Linked DNA regions of Drosophila melanogaster. The main gene of each other region encodes a partner of the protein of the gene in region 2 in a complex. Each region holds a gene or a part of one and is shown on either strand. Other genes may lie near its edges.

The links.
Region 1: the proteins of uex (region 2) and PRL-1 are in contact, whole or in part, in a crystal structure (PDB 8CT8), measured with the Drosophila melanogaster proteins. Residues at the interface, in NP_001104390.2 of Drosophila melanogaster: Leu391, Val422, Thr423, Lys442, Cys445, Glu446, Gln449, Asn450, Pro451, Phe454, Phe456, Asp458, His480, Val482, Asn484, Gly488, Asp489, Pro490, Phe491, Tyr492; in NP_001260487.1 of Drosophila melanogaster: Asp32, Ile33, Thr34, Ile35, Asn36, His37, Asp77, Gly78, Cys109, Ala111, Leu113, Gly114, Arg115, Arg142, Arg143, Gly144, Ile146, Asn147, Gln150.

The regions. Positions count from the first base shown.
Region 1 is NT_033779.5:16,248,821-16,259,452, forward strand, and holds the start of PRL-1 (PRL-1 phosphatase), read right to left. Parts: upstream 8,787-10,632; 5' UTR 8,256-8,786; intron 7,336-8,255; exon of another isoform or gene 7,230-7,335; intron 2,969-7,229; exon of another isoform or gene 2,939-2,968; coding exon of another isoform or gene 2,810-2,938; exon of another isoform or gene 2,421-2,809; intron 1,339-2,420; 5' UTR 1,261-1,338; intron 887-1,260; 5' UTR 131-886; coding exon 11-130; intron 1-10. Other genes in the region: CG46309 (uncharacterized protein), read right to left, coding at 2,810-2,938; EndoGI (endonuclease G inhibitor), read left to right, coding at 9,294-9,359, 9,429-10,442. UniProt on the Drosophila melanogaster protein: Probable phosphatase. Inhibits growth possibly by negatively regulating Src64B-induced growth. Regulates central nervous system circuit formation and stabilization of synapse-dense terminal arbors.
Region 2 is NT_033778.4:3,943,294-3,953,693, forward strand, and holds the start of uex (unextended), read right to left. Parts: upstream 6,133-10,400; 5' UTR 6,053-6,132; exon of another isoform or gene 5,555-6,052; intron 4,929-5,554; exon of another isoform or gene 4,307-4,928; intron 758-4,306; exon of another isoform or gene 719-757; 5' UTR 136-718; intron 43-135; 5' UTR 1-42. UniProt on the Drosophila melanogaster protein: Probable metal transporter. Acts downstream of PRL-1 and protects the nervous system against olfactory carbon dioxide stimulation.

The DNA.
Region 1 (10,632 bases), on a different chromosome or scaffold from region 2:
TGGGACTTACCATAATGTAGTGATTAATGGTTATGTCTGATGGTCGATCGGTGATTAGGAACTTCATGCCCTTGTACTCAATTAGAGCGGGCGCTGGGCGCAGATCTTTTTGACGCATGGTGATGCTCATAAACAATTACAAAAGCTGTTCTGAAGGACTTAATCTGGCTCGTGTGCACTTAAGTCTGTTTTCTTACAATCTTGAGGTGTGGTTTTTGTTTCGTTTTCACAAAGATTTGATTGGTTTCTTTTAACGGAAGTAGTTTGATTTCTAGATTAAAAATTCAGCGTGTTAGAGGCTTACAATTGAATCTTGTTTAGGCTAGAGTTATGTATAAAAAATAAATATAAATATAAATATAATTAACTCTTTTCGTATCGTATCTTAAATGTTTTACACCAAAACACAAACTTAGTTTAAGTATCGTTTAAGTAAAATTAGTTCTTTTTCTTTTCAATTAAGTACAATTATGGATTTTTTCTGCTATCACAAAGAAAATCAATCAATTTTCTTTGACTGAAAAAAGGGTTCCCTGTTAAGTGTCACACGTATTTTTTAAGCTAACAAAAATGATTTGGGCTCAGTTCCCGTTTTGTTTTCGAAAATATTACAACTTTTTCAAGGTTTCGTTGTTAAAAATTTAAATATATCCTTGCTGTGATATGATCTGTGATCACCGCGATGCTTTGAATTTAGTATTCTTCTTTCTCTCCCATAGATCGACAGTCTTTGGCTAATTGATGCCGCTGCTGTCGCCGCTATTTCAGCTGATCCGTTGACGGTATTATTCTGATGGTATCCACACCACTTATCTATCGATGGCGACTTCCGAAGTGGTGACTGTGTTTACTCAGGCTATCTCCGCCTTTTTGTAGGATTGCTTACCTGCAAAGAGTGAGACTAGAATGAGTTCAATATTCCAGACAAATCTGGCGCAAGTCGGTTTGAGCTTCTTTCTCGCGACTCCCATTGTTCATTTAATTGAAAACAATTCGTGGGAAACTAAAAAACAATTTAGCTCAATTACACGCAATGAAATAATTGAGACTTTCGCCATTTTCGTCTCGCACGACACTCTCTTTTTATCCGCGATGTTCTTCGGGGCGGGTCAAGCCGTCAATTGTCCAGAAAGGTCACAGTGCTTTGTTCACTGTAAGTCAAGTGACCTTTCCATGGCCAGCAAGTGTACCGCCCGTGCCACTTGAGCTAATTAATTAAACGAAAAGTCCATATACCCTACAAAAATAATCCATACTCACTTTTTATTTGTGCTGTGCCTGGCAGTATTCTGCACTGTCTAGATGAAACTCCATAGATGTGGGAACAGGTCTAACCAACTGCAAAAGAGAAATAAAATGTTGGGACAACATTCAGTATCACATTTAAATGAAATGAAAATTGAAAAAAAGCTAGAAATATTTTTGTAGGAATTTATTTGACCACCATTTGCAATCGAGAAATGAAGAATGTTTGTAAACATTACCAGCTAAAAGCGTTTATTGGAAATAAATTGTATACAAAAAAATCGATTTGCAAGTCAATTCCAAAGTGATACATAAAAATTATAATTGAAATAAATAAATTAATTATAAAACTGGTGCATTACAATCGAAATCATTCAAGGGTTAGGGCTCACGTTGTACATAATATACATATATTGTACAATTTTGAAACAGGTGCCATAAGCATACAAAAATAATTTCAACATTTTTAGGATTTACCAACTTTTGCAATACTTAATTAGCAACCAAAATAGCCAATTTAGAATAAATAAAAGAAAACCGCCTTTATCAACTGAAATTTATCTGCGAGAACCAGAAAACATACGCAAGGAAAATCGTTGAAGTGGATTTTAAATGTATTGGTCGCCTGCTGTCTGAAAAAAAAAATATTAAAAATATTCCCTAAAAGTGATCCAAGATAATGACTGCTCATTTCCACGACCGTTTACATTATTTATATTCCGTTGATGATCATGAAAAGCATATGTATAAAATGAGTTCACAAATATAAAGACCGAAACAGAACAATGATTGTATAATATGTATTTCGCATATATACGTGTATATCCACACAAACGCGATAACTCTTTAAGCAAATATTCCATTTTCTATGGCCCCAGTGCGACCTGTGTTTATTTTTGCACTTTTGCCTAAAGTAGGCGAATATTTCTCTCGAAAATTGGCCAATTCCTTATGTTAAAGGCATTTCGATTATGGTATGTATTGGAGAATCCATTGTGGAATAGCTAGTGATATTGAAACGCGTGAAACTAATTAAGAAGCGGGCGCAAAAAAATAAAAACAAAACATATAAAAGGAACACTTTGTTGATAGAACTGAAAACTTTCACTTCTTCTCGGAATGCACCTAGTATATACCAGTACATTCTAGATTTGTCAGTGTGTGTGTGTGTTTACCTCATGACACGTTAAGCAACAACACTTTTTGTTGATGCTATATTTCCCAGTCGGTTTTTACTTGTGACTTATGCAATGTATTTTTTGTTTTGCGTCTTGGCGAAATTGAAAAATCACACAGGCAAATATATATGTAAATATCTATATATACATAGGTATTTCGCTATGCATTTAAGCAAATACAGTGATTAGTTGCTGATTACGACGGGGCGGCTTGTAACCCGTTGATATGGACTCCCGATTAGATATCGACAGGTGTTTGCCGGAAGACACTAATCGATTTTATCCGCGGATCGTAAAGCTTTCTCTCCTATCAGTTAATTCGAATATACTGAGGATTGGTCCTCCACATTCAGATTTGCCAGCGGATAAATTGTATTTACCTATCGTTAATCGCCCGTTATACGGCGAGATAGTATCTCGATTAAATATCGACAAGTGTCGATTCTGAGACGTTGATCGATTACGATTACCACAATAAGTAGACGCGTATTGCTGCGTGATGAGCACTCTCTCATGTTTTGCTATCGACTGGCGATTGTCAACTCTTCGCCGCCCATTTTACGCCACGGAAACGGCCGCTCCGTCCGGCAGTAAGTCTCCATTGCCGGGGAGAACGAAGAGAGAGTCGTGACGCACATCTCTCCAATCGCTCACGCAGAGAGCGAAAAAAAATTATCTACAGTCTGGTGCATATTTAAAGCGCTTTAAAAAGTCTGTTGTGCAAAAACAATAGAGGCAGGAAAAATAGAAACAATTTGCTTGGTTAGTTTTACTTTTCTACTGTTGAACATAATTAGCAGAGTTCAATGGACCATGAAAGGGCGAATTTTGTGCTTACTAAAAATGTTTAAATTTTAAAGCATTTTATTCGTTCTGGTATAGTAGTGACAATATAAGTAGTTCTGATTTAAAATCACGAGGGTATTTATTTTAAAATGTTAAATTGTTTAATTTTAGAAACTAGACAACAAGTTAGTTTGTATTCTGTTCTTTTTAAATATAGATCTTAAAATATTTTTTTCGACTTCGTCTCTGAAATAAGTTTCGAAAATAAACTCTACTAAAATTTTGAATATACCTGTATTTTCGAAGAAACGCAAATCATATTGACATTACCTAACAAACACTTATATTTATGACCAATACAAATTATTTCGCGTTAATGGCTTGGTATTTTAAAGTGCCAAAATGCTTATAGACATATAATCCGTAGGATATTCAAATAACTGTGTGGAAACGCTTTTTAAATCGGGGAATAAATAAATGATTGATAAGATCTTTAGCATATAAAGGTTTTTTTCCCCATCTAGCTACCTGACTTGGAAAGTGTTCAAATACAGCGAAGGAAAGTTTTGCAGTCAGATTATAACTTTTACGGGATGCCAAGGTCAGTCGTTATTTAAGGGCAATAAACAAAGCTAAATGCGGTTTATATTATGCACAGTTAATGAAGGCTACGGCGCACACAAACGTGTAACTTAATATGAAATTAGTCTTACATTTAAACCAGTTGATTATAATCGAGATGTAGGCAAATGGCATGACGACACTAATACCAAATTGCGGCTATATTGTTACTCGCTATATACAAACATACATGCATACATATGTACACATTTGTTCCACTTGAATGCTCCTCGCTACATACACAGATTTTCAAATACATTTTCCAATCAGTTAATACATCATAATGTCTTTAAACGACGAGTTTAATGAAATCAAACTTTTGATTCAAATCAACATAAAGATATTCGTGCAATTAGACAAAACTTCTTAACAGACTATTGTATCTTTGACAAAAAATACTTTTTGTTCTCTCCGAGGTAGCAGATGGTTTTGTCTGTGCGGAAAGTTGATTGGACTTTCCCGAAACAGGAGCAGACGACTTAGACCGAGGGCCAGACAAGAAGGAAACAAAGAACAAGGAACCGATGAAATCTGGAGGTAAGAAAGCAAACACAACTGAATGCCGGTGTGTCTGAGTTTGGATTCGGGGTTCAAAGTACTTCAATTCCAGTTCCCTTTTCTTTTTTTTTTTTTTTGTTTGTCCCCTCTTTCAGTTTTTGTTTAGACTTCGACTGCAATCCTGGCAAACAAGATCGCCCGATTTACGCCAATAATCACAGACTTGCAAAAAATAGTAGTAAAAGGTTGTAAACAAATTGAAAATGACTAACGGACGGGAAATGTGATGAGGGTAACTGCCACTCAAGCCTCAACTTACTAAGCTAAAGTCTGTCCACGGGTGTCAATAAAACCGGAGACGTGCCGAAAAAAAAAGCCAGACATAACGCAGACACTAAGAATACATTAAGTCTTATACACTTATTAAAAAAACAAAAACTAGCTACCTACATGGGGTAGAAAGCTGGTAGACTAAACATTCAATAAAACAGTACACTGTTACCAACTTGGAACTTAAATCATTGGAATCATTGGTATCTTAAATGAATATTGAGAATAATTGTAAATGATTTAGGATCAATAGATATAAATTCATCTTACAATAAATGTATAGTCAAGAAGATTGATATAGATAGATTGATATAGATAGATAGATATAGATAGATACGAGATATAGATAGATATAGATATAGATATAAAGCAAGCAAGAACCTTTTTTGTACTGCCAAACACATGAAAACCAAAACTTTTCTAAGTTTTGTTCACCTTAGATATTCGCGGCACGCTTTCAGATCAGATAAGTATGGGTATTGGAAACCCAAGTCAAATGAAAAGACAGCAAAAAAAAACACAGACCAAGCTCGAGTTATTGATTTTGCGCGACTAGCAAAGGAGGAAGGGCGATGTCCAAGCCCCAGCACCAACACCATCTCCATCTCCATCCATCCGCGATTTCCGTATTTCGCCATAATGGAAATTTTAAGTTTGCCCCGAAGCGTCTCGAGTGCTGCGAACCAGGAGGAGATGAGCAGGAAATGGTGGCCCCACCACGGGGGCAACTAGGATCTCAAACCGCCTTTTTCTAGTTGCCAAGTGGTCGCGCTGTTTTTCGTGACGCACCAGGCGGCGACTTCTCATGCGTCATCAACGACTTTTAATCGGAAAACAGCTGTTGTTGTTTTGTTTTGATAAAATGCAACCAAAACAAAAATAAATAAGCAATCTTGTCTCGTTATTGCAATTATCGAATGCATGCCTTCTCCTGCCACAAATTGCAGGTCCTTCAAGGTTGATTTACAGACAAGGATTACGTACATACATGCATAGTACATCAACAAAAAAGTGCCATTTTCCTGGTTAGTTTTGGGTACTGTGTACCTTAACCAAGGGCAGGCCAAAACTATTGAGGACAAACAGCGCCGCATTTATCGCGCACTATATATAGAATCCGGGGGTGGTCGGTGACATTTTCCCCTCCCATTTTCCACCAATCTACCACCCTCCACCCTCCACTGACGTTTGTAAATCGTATTGCATGCTTTGTTGTTCGCTTTTTGGTCTATTTTTGGATATGACATGTATTGGTGAAATTCTGCACACAAGCGGCCAAAACGTGACAGCAGTAAAAAAAAAAAAAAAAATAATACAGCACAATGATATATAACCGCGAAAAGTAGTCTGAAAGTTCGCAACTCTCATGCTACTTCGATATTTCTAATTAGCGAGTTCTTGACTTCTTCCTAACTAATGTGCGAGTGTATTTAATTAGCTGGCTGTAGAATTTAAGCTGCCGCTACTGTACGAGTATGACCTCAAAAGACCGTGAAATATACATTTATCTACATTCAATTAATTTTGAGAATTTCTATAATTACAACTTGACACATTTATAGATTTGGTTACAGATCACGGAGCAGTGAAAGTTGTAAATTTTAAATAAGTTTAATTTCGGTAATTGTCGAGTAAGCAAATTTATCGCACAACAACAAAAATTAAGAAGATGTTGAAGATGTTCAGAAAGATCCAATAAATTGCACTAAATCAAAATGACCTCAAACAAATTTGCTGGAAGCATTTCAATGAACGAAAGTATTGCCACACATTTCGAGGAATTCAATTGGCTTTCGATTCGATTGTGTGCGTGGGAATATGGAATATTTTAGAACTGGCGGAAAGCAGATAAACCCAGACAACAAAATACAAACAGCTGGAATACAAAATAACCAAGAAGCGTATACGTAATCTCTACACTGAGTTGAGATACATGTAGTAGTACTCTTGATAAGAAAATGGAATTTAATGCAATGCTAGATAGATAGGTATTCAATCTTGAAAAATGTATATCTGTATGATTGAAAGGAACCCTACCAAATTAATCGAGTTTTGTAATCGATGCGTTCAAGTTATGACGTCTTTTCGTATGAGTTTGTTCGGTATATTTTTGATAAAGTCAAACCGGATTTTAAAATTCTTCCCTTGGCTGATACGCTTATCTGCTCGCTCTTTTTTATCACGGATAAATAAAAAGAGAGAATGAAACCGAAAGAGATTCTTTTCTTTCTTTTGTTTGTATTGCCGTGGCCGGGGCACTATCATTGAACTTGTTCAAGGACAAGAGACCCCAAACGGAAATAAAAGGGAGAGAGCACAAGAAATCTGACAAGAGAACCGGTTAAAAAATGGATATCGTTGGGATTTTCAACCACCGGTTGGCGTATAATTGATATTCCTTTGGTGCGTATGGGACAGTTTCAGTTGCCAGGTTCCATTTCTATACCGCTTATACCGCTTTCAATACCAATTGACGCAATTTGCTGATATCGATTAGCAAACAGTGCGATCAAGATAAACACAGGTGGAAAAAATGCGAAAATTCGAGATAACAGCAAATCACAGCCAAACCTTGTTGAGTAACAACTGATTGTAAAATTGAAAGCTATGAACGAAGGCAATCTTTTTGCACTACAACTTTGCTCCGTCCACATTTGTTCAGTATAAAATGCCAACTGATTTGGCTGTTTTGTTCTAAAAAAAACAATTTCTCTCGGCCATGTCTTTTGTTTACTGTTTGCTCTGCCGCTTTGATATGATATAAATCTGCTCGAAATGTCTTCAACAGATTAGATATTAGATTAGAATCTACGTGTATGTACCTAGCAAATGACGTATGAAGATGATAAAAACTGCCAAAAAAAATAAGAGAAATAAACTTTAACTGGTGCAGTGCAAAATAGTTTTGGTCCCGTCCTAGTTCCGTTCGGATGGTAAAACTGGGTCAGCTGACATTTATTTTCAACTGGCGAAGGCAGTTAACCAGGTAACTGGGTCGAATGAAAGTAAAATGCGTGAAGTTACCCATTTATTGAAGTATATGATTGTTGTGTATGATAACAAATGGGACATTACATTACTTTCCTTAACGTTTTTTATGCAAGCACAGCAGAATTTGCAATTCGATTAATTTGATTGCGAAGAAAAGAATATTATTCATAGCAATTACACAGATTTGTTGGTATTTTGAGAAGAATACATTTAAAAAGTTCACATTCATATTTATAAAAAACGTAAACACAATTAGTTTATAACATATTCTAGTTTTACAAGATGACAATTGTTTATAGTTTTTGCACAGACAAATAAAAATGTAACTGGTTGATATATACTAAAAAAAAATTTAAACAAATTCCAGAAACTATTTCTAATGCCAACATGTTTTTTAAGACTATTTTTCGAATAAAACAAACAAAATCCAGTTAGAAATTGTTTAAACGAAAAAAATTGAATGTAAATGCCAACGCACGCACACAAGCACACATACTTTGTGGCTCAGTAGTTGTGCGAGTGTTCGTTGACGTTCGAAACAATTTATGCAACAAAAATGTATTATTTAAAAACTTGCGGCTGTAGCCGATCCCCTGCCGCACTTACCACAATTGCCATACACATTTGAGTATAACTTTTGAAGCTTTTTCGTTGCTTTTCGTGCACGAGAAAATTGAATTCACGTCCACACGCACACACAGACGCACCGCGAGACTCTCACCGACACGAATTCCACGAATGCAATTGGCTGGTGTGTGTTGCCTTTTACGACACAACTATTGCTCTTATTGCAACTGTAAATTGATTGTATCTTTAGCTTAAGTGTTTTTTATTGAATAGGATTGTTAAACTTTGGTTTTTCAGCGACATTAACGCAAAATTCATCTGCAGCTTAACCTCAAATTTCTTTGTGTCTGTCACGCACACACACACACAAACACAGTCAGCACGGGGCGGAACCAATGGTATAAGATGAATCTATCAATTTGACATGAATTAATCGGGCGAAAATAATATCTGTAGTTTCCAGCACGGATTGCACAATTTTTTCTACCGATTTCCAAGAGCAAAGTACTTGTAATCGAAGTAGGCGTTGCGAACAATTCGCTCGTTTGTGTTGGTAGACACGGATGGTGATTATATTCGATAATCTCGAACACTCGATAGAGCCGATAGTATCGAGTGCAATTAAGTGTTAGATAAACATCGATTGCGGGCAGAATCGATACTTTTTTGTAATAATTTAATTACCTATTTTGCAATTGTCTTTTAAAAACAGTTTTTTTTATTTTAAATGTAAGATGTGATTTTAAAGGAAGTTGTACAATATATATACATATATATTTATTTATAAACCGACATAAAATATATAATATTTTCAATATGTCACATACTTTCTTTTCTTATTCATCCAATAAGTCGTCTTATTTTGATTCTTGGTCTGTCCTTCCGAGAATATTCCAATTAAAATTATTCTCTATTGAAAAGAACTACCCTACTATTTACATTCGTAGTATCGCAACAGCAAGCGGCGATCTGAATTAGTCATCTTATCTCTTTCCGACAGAAGTGACGATCAATAGCCCAACGATTTTAAACGCTTTACTTCGAAGAACCTTAAATCGCCAATTTATCCAGAGGGGAATGTCCAAGCGCAAGGCCGAGGACACACAATCCGACAAAATGGCAACGGCCGAGAAAGTAGCACAGGTAATAAGCAACAGCCATAGAAAATAAACAAAAATAGTTTACAAACAATAACAACTATTGTCTGGACAGAACGATTACACCATTGGCCTGGTGGATCCCGTTAAGGATTACCAAAAGCTTATCGAAACACGCGTGCAGGTAGACGAAATCGTGGATGATGATGTCACCAAGGAGAATTTCGATCGAACGGCTGCAGCGGCGCGTGACGTCATCTGGCGGCTGTTATTCGACGAGGCCGGTACCTCGCAATCGAACACAGAGAAGGCCAGCCAATTGCTGGAGGAATACCGTGGTGACGCCTGCTTCTACGACCCGACGCCGTACAACGAATGGATTGTCAAGCTGAGGGATGAGGTTCTAAAGAAGGAACTCCTCGACTTTTGGCGCGATGTGCTGGTGAAGAAGCAACTCGGTCCCTGTTGGTCACGCGACAGTGATCTCTTTGACAGCGACGACACCCCGCCATTGGAGTTCTATGCCCATGCCGGTTGTACCGCTCCATTTGCAGCCAGCTTAAAGGTGCGCGCAGCACTCGAGGAGCAGGCTTCGCTGGATCAGGATGGGCCAGCGACGCCTACAACTCCGGGTGAACTGAGTGCCGATGATGCCGCCGCTCTGTCTGGCGAATTTGAGGCCACCCTGACCAAGGAAAATCCGCTCGAGGAATACCGAACTCTAATGAAGCGCTTTGTTCTGACCAAAATCATCGTTCCGGACAGCGTTCACCAGGCCAGCGTGAAGAAGATAGCGGCAGCCGCCAGGGAGATAATCTGGAAGCTGCTCTTCGATGGCACACCCTCAGCGGAGGATCAAAACAAGGCCGCCGAGCTGCTGCAGGAGTACAAGGGTGATGCTGGTTTCTATGGGCCCGACGACTACAACAGTTGGATTTTCAATCTGAGGGATGAGGTTCTCACCAAAGAGCTTCTCGACTTTTGGCGCGACAAGATGGTGAAAATGGAACTTGGTCCCAGTTGCGCCCGCGATTCCGACTATTACGACAACGAGGATCCGCTGCCATTCGAGTTTTACGAAAAGGCTGGTTGCAAGGCTCCCTTTGAAGGACCTGTAAATGATGATTAGTAGTGCATCTTTCATGACTGAAGGATTGTTTCCTTATGTACTAAAACACCTATTCTGGTCGTAATCTCTGAAGGCACACACAGTAAAGCATTTCAATATCTGAATTATGTTTCGAAATGTTAGAAATTGTTTAAAAATGAATAAAATGATAAGTATTTTATAACTGTTCTCAAAAATAGTGGTCCTTTTT
Region 2 (10,400 bases):
GGCATCTGTCACTACCACTTTTATATTTACTGGAAAAACTGTCTATTAGAATGAGAGAATGTTTTTAATAAATAATGTTAGAAGACAGATTCCAAGAGCACTAAATTAGTTGCATTTTGCAAGTTCCGTAAATACCTTTTTTCCACTCTCAAATTATACTGTGCAACCTTTTCCTTTTCTCTTAAATGTACTATTTACTAGTACGTTAAATGTTCTGCCTTTCCTCGATCCGCATATTCATCGACTCTACTATCGATTGTACTTATTACTATCGATTGTAATAAAGAGCTAACATGCAGGGAAAGCCTGAATTTAAGGTATTAGTCAACTACCGACGAATATAGAACTCTTAAGATATTTAGTTATCGGCCCTGTTCCAGATGTCACTTTCGAATGATTCCCACTGGATTCTTCTCTCTAATTGAAGTTTGGTTATATACAAAGAACAACTGTGGAAAAAACTGTAAATCATTACTTTGAGTTTTATTTAAAATAATTAAAAAATAATTGAATACTGAAATGAATCGCATTTGGCTTAAATGGCAAAATTTTCTTATGGTAAAACGAATTACAATGATTTGTTAAATAGGTAACTTACCCCAATTAGCACAATAAATTTTCTGACTCTGAATACCACTTCTACAAAAAAATACATTTTTAATACGTTAGCACAACAACAGCACACGGGACTGCATACTTAAATTCATGACAATAAACTCTGAAAGTTAAGAAGGAAAATTACAAAAATTGGTGGGAGGTAACATCACTCACAAAAGAAATCACGAGATTAACGTTGGAAACTTTTGCTTTAACATGCTTAAAAAAACCTAACTTTTGTTGCTAGAGATTTATGCTACTTTTGATTTTACTGTCTTAGTATTTTTCTTGCCAATATCTATCTATATGTATAGCAAAAAAATATTTTGGCCACGTTATAATTTTTTTATCGATTTAAGTAAAATTTCTACTTTGCACTACTAGAAAAGAAATGAGCTGATGCTGTTTTAGTTACTTTTTTCGACATTTTTTCTTCAGCTGAAGCTCCAAAAGCAACAGAAGTTTCATCAGCTACAGCCACCTGTCAAATTTCAATTGGCTACATGCATTGCTTCATATTTTAGTTATACATACAGACATACATACTTCCAGGAGAAGATACATATAATACAAGTTAGTTTTAAATATACTGTTTAAACTGCTACGCCCACATTTTTAAAAAAATTGTTGGATATTTTTTCATAATTGTATATGTCGCTTAAATTTCTATCGATTTTTGCCACGCCCACTTTAACGCCCTAAAGCCGCCATACCAGTCACGCCAAATTTTTTAACAATTTTTAATTTTTTTCTCATTTTTTCCCCCAATATCTATCGATATCCCAGAAAAATAATGAAATTAGAGTTCGCATTCACACTAGCAGTGTAACGGGTATTTGATAGACGGGGAACTTGTCTATAGTATTCTCTCTTTTTTATATTTAAGGTTTAAGGAGAGGTACTCCGATCATTTTTGTAGAGTTTGTTAGCAATGTTGCCGCGACGATGCCTGCGTGTCTGCATGTAACCGAACCCGTTCGCATTATCTTAGGCCGAGGCTAGGCGACCCGAGCATGCATGTTAGCATTTAGAATTAGATTTAAGGCTACGAAAGCCACATACGATAATTAACAAAACTAAAACCGAAAATTGAAAGCGCCCATAGGGGGACAGAGTGGGAACGATAGCGACAGAAACTTCTGGAAGAAGTCCAAAACTCAGCGAAAAGTTTTGTGAAGCAAAAAGAACGAAAAAGGTGTTTGGGAGCAGAAGCCAATGAGTAAAGGCAAATTTGTGAATAAATGTGCGACAATTTCGCAGAAGAAAATTTACTGGGATACAGACCATCGTGTGACGCCTTATCCAGACCGGCCGAGACCAGGAGAAACGAAAGAAGGACAACTTGGAGGAGACACACGGCGGACCCGGAATCCAAGTCATCAAAGGAGGGAACGGCGAAAAGAAGATGACAAGAATTTGAAACGAGAAAGGCTGGAACAAAAATGTGATATCATGGGAAATAAATACAATTAAATCATAATAATATATATATTGGAAAAAATCTGGAAAACAAAAAAATAAAACCCACGATGCTCAGAAGGGCTTATTTTCTTGAAGACCATGTAATCGTGAATCGAGTCGTCCCAAGTATTTAGTGTTCTGTGTTTTTTGTTTATTTTTTTTGTATATTTAATATTTTTAATTTGTTTTTTGATTTATAAGTAAAATAAATATTGTTTAATTATATTTCATAAAAAATTGAGTTTACGTATGCAAAGAACTCTTAATTTTTACCTTTAAAGTTAAAAGTTTAATTTTTTTCACAGTGCGTAAACAGTTTCTTGACATACTGTATGCAACGTAAATAACTGTGCTTTTGTAAGTGAGTGCTTGTGTCCGCCGATCCTAAAATATGTGAATTGGCACCACAACTTACAGTTATTACATACATATGTAAACATTTAGTTTTAATAGGTGGAAATTCGAAACGAGTGAAGGGTGCTTAAATTTTGAGATACAGGACATTATTTTTAACGCATCAAGATGTGCTTCACTACCAGTACGGTTCATTTCATAACCAAGGAATTCTCATTCAGGTTTAAAAATTTCAAATTTATTTAGGTTAATCTGTTTGTTGTTCTCACTAATACGATCTAATAATTAAATAATTCCTCTACAGTTGTGGTAGCTACGACTTTATCATCCATATACACTACTATCTGCTTGTGATGCCCGTTATTCTTAGAGTAAAAGGATATACTAGATTCGTTGAAAAGTTGTTAGGCAGAATGAAGCGCGTCAGCATTGTTTATACAAAGCTTCTTAGTAGCTGTGAAGTATTACATTATCAGTTGCTAACTACTCCCCCTTCAGGCTTATGACCGTCCTCGGTCATGTTAAAAGTGTCGATGGTTCGCTGTATCTCCCTGGAGGCTCGTCTTCTCCTTAATGCCAGATAAAGTGCGAAGGAGCCACTTAACCCAACGTTTAGGACCACACCAGCTACGAACCAGAGTTTAGGCGAACCTTCAGATTCCATGTCGTCCTTAAAGCTTTGGATGGAGAGTAGGTTCTCGTTATTCATCCGGTGAAGCAGAGGGATGCTGAGTACAGGGTGTTAAGTATGTTAAGTAATGGGGAGCGCACAATGCCTGGCTGCTTGCTTGCTTTTCGTAGGTTTACGAACTCGGAGCCATTGATGGTTGCCGTTCGCTCGAAGGTCACCAGGTGGGTTCCCTCGACTAGTATTTCTGGGCTGCCATTGGTGCTAACACGAGCTGCTGCTTCGTTGATAATCACAACGCAGTCATCTACGGGAGGTACTTCTTGCAAGTAGCTGGGTTGAATGTGGCATTGGGCTGCGCTTCCTGCGTGGAGCGAGCGCGCACAAGATTCGCGCCGGGACCGCTCGCAGAACGTGTAGTGTGTGGTATCTGTGCATTCGGTGACCGCAAAGGTGTCATGCTTGCATTCGGCCAGCGTATCCTCGTCGAGGCGTAAGATGATGATGTTGGTGAGATACAGGGTAGACGGCGACTTTCTTGCAACCGAACTTGACTCTGGGATAGGCAATTATAATATGAATGCTGTTCTCGGACTGGAGGACCCTCATCTTGGATGCTTCTATTAAGCTGACAATAGGGGTGTCCTGTTCTACAAGAGACTTCAAGTCGGCATGGTCAAGAATGGTGGGATTTGCAATGTTTGATTTGGCCAAAGTAATAGTAAGAATTAAATTTCTGTAAAAAGCATCCTATTTCTTGCCAATAATGCTTCATATAAATGTGGAGTGTCAACCAAGTCGTTTTTACGGGCACTGATGACCTTATTGATGGTGTCATTTAACTTGTTAATCTGCTTCTGGGTTTCGGAATTTATGGTTATCTGCCGGGTCAGTCGCGATCGAACTCTCGCAGTGTGCAGATGTGCCAGCGGACAAATTCACGACGACTACTTGTGTACCGGAGCACCGCCTATCTCTCACCTACGCCGAGCGATCTGTTTGGCTATAAAGTGGATAAAGTGGCTTTGGCGGTTGGCAAATGCTTGTGCCTAAAAATAATACAGGCAAGCGTAAGGAGCCACCTAATGCACCCACAATATCGAAATCCAAAGTACCCAAGGTACTCGAAAATTCCATGAAAAAGACATTGGCCATTGGCAGCTCCACCTCCAGCTCCAATGAAATTGAAAGTGGTAATGATAAGAACAACGAATCCCTAGAGGCCGGCGAAATTAGACAGTTCACCATAAGAAATACCGTAAATACCTTTTTTCCACTCTCAAATTATACTGTGCAACCTTTTCCTTTTCTCTTAAATGTACTATTTACTAGTACGTTAAATGTTCTGCCTTTCCTCGATCCGCATATTCATCGACTCTACTATCGATTGTACTTATTACTATCGATTGTAATAAAGAGCTAACATGCAGGGAAAGCCTGAATTTAAGGTATTAGTCAACTACCGACGAATATAGAACTCTTAAGATATTTAGTTATCGGCCCTGTTCCAGAAATCACTTTCGAATGATTCCCACGGGATTCTTCTCTCTAATTGAAGTTTGGTTATATACAAAGAACAACTGTGGAAAAAACTGTAAATCATTACTTTGAGTTTTATTTAAAATAATTAAAAAATAATTGAATACTGAAATGAATCGCATTTGGCTTAAATGGCAAAATTTTCTTATGGTAAAACGAATTACAATGATTTGTTAAATAGGTAACTTACCCCAATTAGCACAATAAATTTTCTGACTCTGAATACCACTTCTACAAAAAAATACATTTTTAATACGTTAGCACAACAACAGCACACGGGACTGCATACTTAAATTCATGACAATAAACTCTGAAAGTTAAGAAGGAAAATTACAAAAATTGGTGGGAGGTAACATCACTCACAAAAGAAATCACGAGATTAACGTTGGAAACTTTTGCTTTAACATGCTTAAAAAAACCTAACTTTTGTTGCTAGAGATTTATGCTACTTTTGATTTTACTGTCTTAGTATTTTTCTTGCCAATATCTATCTATATGTATAGCAAAAAAATATTTTGGCCACGTTATAATTTTTTTATCGATTTAAGTAAAATTTCTACTTTGCACTACTAGAAAAGAAATGAGCTGATGCTGTTTTAGTTACTTTTTTCGACATTTTTTCTTCAGCTGAAGCTCCAAAAGCAACAGAAGTTTCATCAGCTACAGCACCCTGTCAAATTTCAATTGGCTACATGCATTGCTTCATATTTTAGTTATACATACAGACATACATACTTCCAGGAGAAGATACATATAATACAAGTTAGTTTTAAATATACTGTTTAAACTGCTACGCCCACATTTTTAAAAAAATTGTTGGATATTTTTTCATAATTGTATATGTCGCTTAAATTTCTATCGATTTTTGCCACGCCCACTTTAACGCCCTAAAGCCGCCATACCAGTCACGCCAAATTTTTTAACAATTTTTAATTTTTTTCTCATTTTTTCCCCCAATATCTATCGATATCCCAGAAAAATAATGAAATTAGAGTTCGCATTCACACTAGCAGTGTAACGGGTATTTGATAGACGGGGAACTTGTCTATAGTATTCTCTCTTTTTTATATTTAAGGTTTAAGGAGAGGTACTCCGATCATTTTTGTAGAGTTTGTTAGCAATGTTGCCGCGACGATGCCTGCGTGTCTGCATGTAACCGAACCCGTTCGCATTATCTTAGGCCGAGGCTAGGCGACCCGAGCATGCATGTTAGCATTTAGAATTAGATTTAAGGCTACGAAAGCCACATACGATAATTAACAAAACTAAAACCGAAAATTGAAAGCGCCCATAGGGGGACAGAGTGGGAACGATAGCGACAGAAACTTCTGGAAGAAGTCCAAAACTCAGCGAAAAGTTTTGTGAAGCAAAAAGAAAGAAAAAGGTGTTTGGGAGCAGAAGCCAATGAGTAAAGGCAAATTTGTGAATAAATGTGCGACAATTTCGCAGAAGAAAATTTACTGAGATACAGACCATCGTGTGACGCCTTATCCAGACCGGCCGAGACCAGGAGAAACGAAAGAAGGACAACTTGGAGGAGACACACGGCGGACCCGGAATCCAAGTCATCAAAGGAGGGAACGGCGAAAAGAAGATGACAAGAATTTGAAACGAGAAAGGCTGGAACAAAAATGTGATATCATGGGAAATAAATACAATTAAATCATAATAATATATATATTGGAAAAAATCTGGAAAACAAAAAAATAAAACCCACGATGCTCAGAAGGGCTTATTTTCTTGAAGACCATGTAATCGTGAATCGAGTCGTCCCAAGTATTTAGTGTTCTGTGTTTTTTGTTTATTTTTTTTTGTATATTTAATATTTTTAATTTGTTTTTTGATTTATAAGTAAAATAAATATTGTTTAATTATATTTCATAAAAAATTGAGTTTACGTATGCAAAGAACTCTTAATTTTTACCTTTAAAGTTAAAAGTTTAATTTTTTTCACAGTGCGTAAACAGTTTCTTGACATACTGTATGCAACGTAAATAACTGTGCTTTTGTAAGTGAGTGCTTGTGTCCGCCGATCCTAAAATATGTGAATTGGCACCACAACTTACAGTTATTACATACATATGTAAACATTTAGTTTTAATAGGTGGAAATTCGAAACGAGTGAAGGGTGCTTAAATTTTGAGATACAGGACATTATTTTTAACGCATCAAGATGTGCTTCACTACCAGTACGGTTCATTTCATAACCAAGGAATTCTCATTCAGGTTTAAAAATTTCAAATTTATTTAGGTTAATCTGTTTGTTGTTCTCACTAATACGATCTAATAATTAAATAATTCCTCTACAGTTGTGGTAGCTACGACTTTATCATCCATATACACTACTATCTGCTTGTGATGCCCGTTATTCTTAGAGTAAAAGGATATACTAGATTCGTTGAAAAGTTGTTAGGCAGAATGAAGCGCGTCAGCATTGTTTATACAAAGCTTCTTAGTAGCTGTGAAGTATTACATTATCAGTTGCTAACTACTCCCCCTTCAGGCTTATGACCGTCCTCGGTCATGTTAAAAGTGTCGATGGTTCGCTGTATCTCCCTGGAGGCTCGTCTTCTCCTTAATGCCAGATAAAGTGCGAAGGAGCCAATTAACCCAACGTTTAGGACCACACCAGCTACGAACCAGAGTTTAGGCGAACCTTCAGATTCCATGTCGTCCTTAAAGCTTTGGATGGAGAGTAGGTTCTCGTTATTCATCCGGTGAAGCAGAGGGATGCTGAGTACAGGGTGTTAAGTATGTTAAGTAATGGGGAGCGCACAATGCCTGGCTGCTTGCTTGCTTTTCGTAGGTTTACGAACTCGGAGCCATTGATGGTTGCCGTTCGCTCGAAGGTCACCAGGTGGGTTCCCTCGACTAGTATTTCTGGGCTGCCATTGGTGCTAACACGAGCTGCTGCTTCGTTGATAATCACAACGCAGTCATCTACGGGAGGTACTTCTTGCAAGTAGCTGGGTTGAATGTGGCATTGGGCTGCGCTTCCTGCGTGGAGCGAGCGCGCACAAGATTCGCGCCGGGACCGCTCGCAGAACGTGTAGTGTGTGGTATCTGTGCATTCGGTGACCGCAAAGGTGTCATGCTTGCATTCGGCCAGCGTATCCTCGTCGAGGCGTAAGATGATGATGTTGGTGAGATACAGGGTAGACGGCGACTTTCTTGCAACCGAACTTGACTCTGGGATAGGCAATTATAATATGAATGCTGTTCTCGGACTGGAGGACCCTCATCTTGGATGCTTCTATTAAGCTGACAATAGGGGTGTCCTGTTCTACAAGAGACTTCAAGTCGGCATGGTCAAGAATGGTGGGATTTGCAATGTTTGATTTGGCCAAAGTAATAGTAAGAATTAAATTTCTGTAAAAAGCATCCTATTTCTTGCCAATAATGCTTCATATAAATGTGGAGTGTCAACCAAGTCGTTTTTACGGGCACTGATGACCTTATTGATGGTGTCATTTAACTTGTTAATCTGCTTCTGGGTTTCGGAATTTATGGTTATCTGCCGGGTCAGTCGCGATCGAACTCTCGCAGTGTGCAGATGTGCCAGCGGACAAATTCACGACGACTACTTGTGTACCGGAGCACCGCCTATCTCTCACCTACGCCGAGCGATCTGTTTGGCTATAAAGTGGATAAAGTGGCTTTGGCGGTTGGCAAATGCTTGTGCCTAAAAATAATACAGGCAAGCGTAAGGAGCCACCTAATGCACCCACAATATCGAAATCCAAAGTACCCAAGGTACTCGAAAATTCCATGAAAAAGACATTGGCCATTGGCAGCTCCACCTCCAGCTCCAATGAAATTGAAAGTGGTAATGATAAGAACAACGAATCCCTAGAGGCCGGCGAAATTAGACAGTTCACCATAAGAAATACCGTAAATACCTTTTTTCCACTCTCAAATTATACTGTGCAACCTTTTCCTTTTCTCTTAAATGTACTATTTACTAGTACGTTAAATGTTCTGCCTTTCCTCGATCCGCATATTCATCGACTCTACTATCGATTGTACTTATTACTATCGATTGTAATAAAGAGCTAACATGCAGGGAAAGCCTGAATTTAAGGTATTAGTCAACTACCGACGAATATAGAACTCTTAAGATATTTAGTTATCGGCCCTGTTCCAGAAATCACTTTCGAATGATTCCCACGGGATTCTTCTCTCTAATTGAAGTTTGGTTATATACAAAGAACAACTGTGGAAAAAACTGTAAATCATTACTTTGAGTTTTATTTAAAATAATTAAAAAATAATTGAATACTGAAATGAATCGCATTTGGCTTAAATGGCAAAATTTTCTTATGGTAAAACGAATTACAATGATTTGTTAAATAGGTAACTTACCCCAATTAGCACAATAAATTTTCTGACTCTGAATACCACTTCTACAAAAAAATACATTTTTAATACGTTAGCACAACAACAGCACACGGGACTGCATACTTAAATTCATGACAATAAACTCTGAAAGTTAAGAAGGAAAATTACAAAAATTGGTGGGAGGTAACATCACTCACAAAAGAAATCACGAGATTAACGTTGGAAACTTTTGCTTTAACATGCTTAAAAAAACCTAACTTTTGTTGCTAGAGATTTATGCTACTTTTGATTTTACTGTCTTAGTATTTTTCTTGCCAATATCTATCTATATGTATAGCAAAAAAATATTTTGGCCACGTTATAATTTTTTTATCGATTTAAGTAAAATTTCTACTTTGCACTACTAGAAAAGAAATGAGCTGATGCTGTTTTAGTTACTTTTTTCGACATTTTTTCTTCAGCTGAAGCTCCAAAAGCAACAGAAGTTTCATCAGCTACAGCACCCTGTCAAATTTCAATTGGCTACATGCATTGCTTCATATTTTAGTTATACATACAGACATACATACTTCCAGGAGAAGATACATATAATACAAGTTAGTTTTAAATATACTGTTTAAACTGCTACGCCCACATTTTTAAAAAAATTGTTGGATATTTTTTCATAATTGTATATGTCGCTTAAATTTCTATCGATTTTTGCCACGCCCACTTTAACGCCCTAAAGCCGCCATACCAGTCACGCCAAATTTTTTAACAATTTTTAATTTTTTTCTCATTTTTTCCCCCAATATCTATCGATATCCCAGAAAAATAATGAAATTAGAGTTCGCATTCACACTAGCAGTGTAACGGGTATTTGATAGACGGGGAACTTGTCTATAGTATTCTCTCTTTTTTATATTTAAGGTTTAAGGAGAGGTACTCCGATCATTTTTGTAGAGTTTGTTAGCAATGTTGCCGCGACGATGCCTGCGTGTCTGCATGTAACCGAACCCGTTCGCATTATCTTAGGCCGAGGCTAGGCGACCCGAGCATGCATGTTAGCATTTAGAATTAGATTTAAGGCTACGAAAGCCACATACGATAATTAACAAAACTAAAACCGAAAATTGAAAGCGCCCATAGGGGGACAGAGTGGGAACGATAGCGACAGAAACTTCTGGAAGAAGTCCAAAACTCAGCGAAAAGTTTTGTGAAGCAAAAAGAAAGAAAAAGGTGTTTGGGAGCAGAAGCCAATGAGTAAAGGCAAATTTGTGAATAAATGTGCGACAATTTCGCAGAAGAAAATTTACTGAGATACAGACCATCGTGTGACGCCTTATCCAGACCGGCCGAGACCAGGAGAAACGAAAGAAGGACAACTTGGAGGAGACACACGGCGGACCCGGAATCCAAGTCATCAAAGGAGGGAACGGCGAAAAGAAGATGACAAGAATTTGAAACGAGAAAGGCTGGAACAAAAATGTGATATCATGGGAAA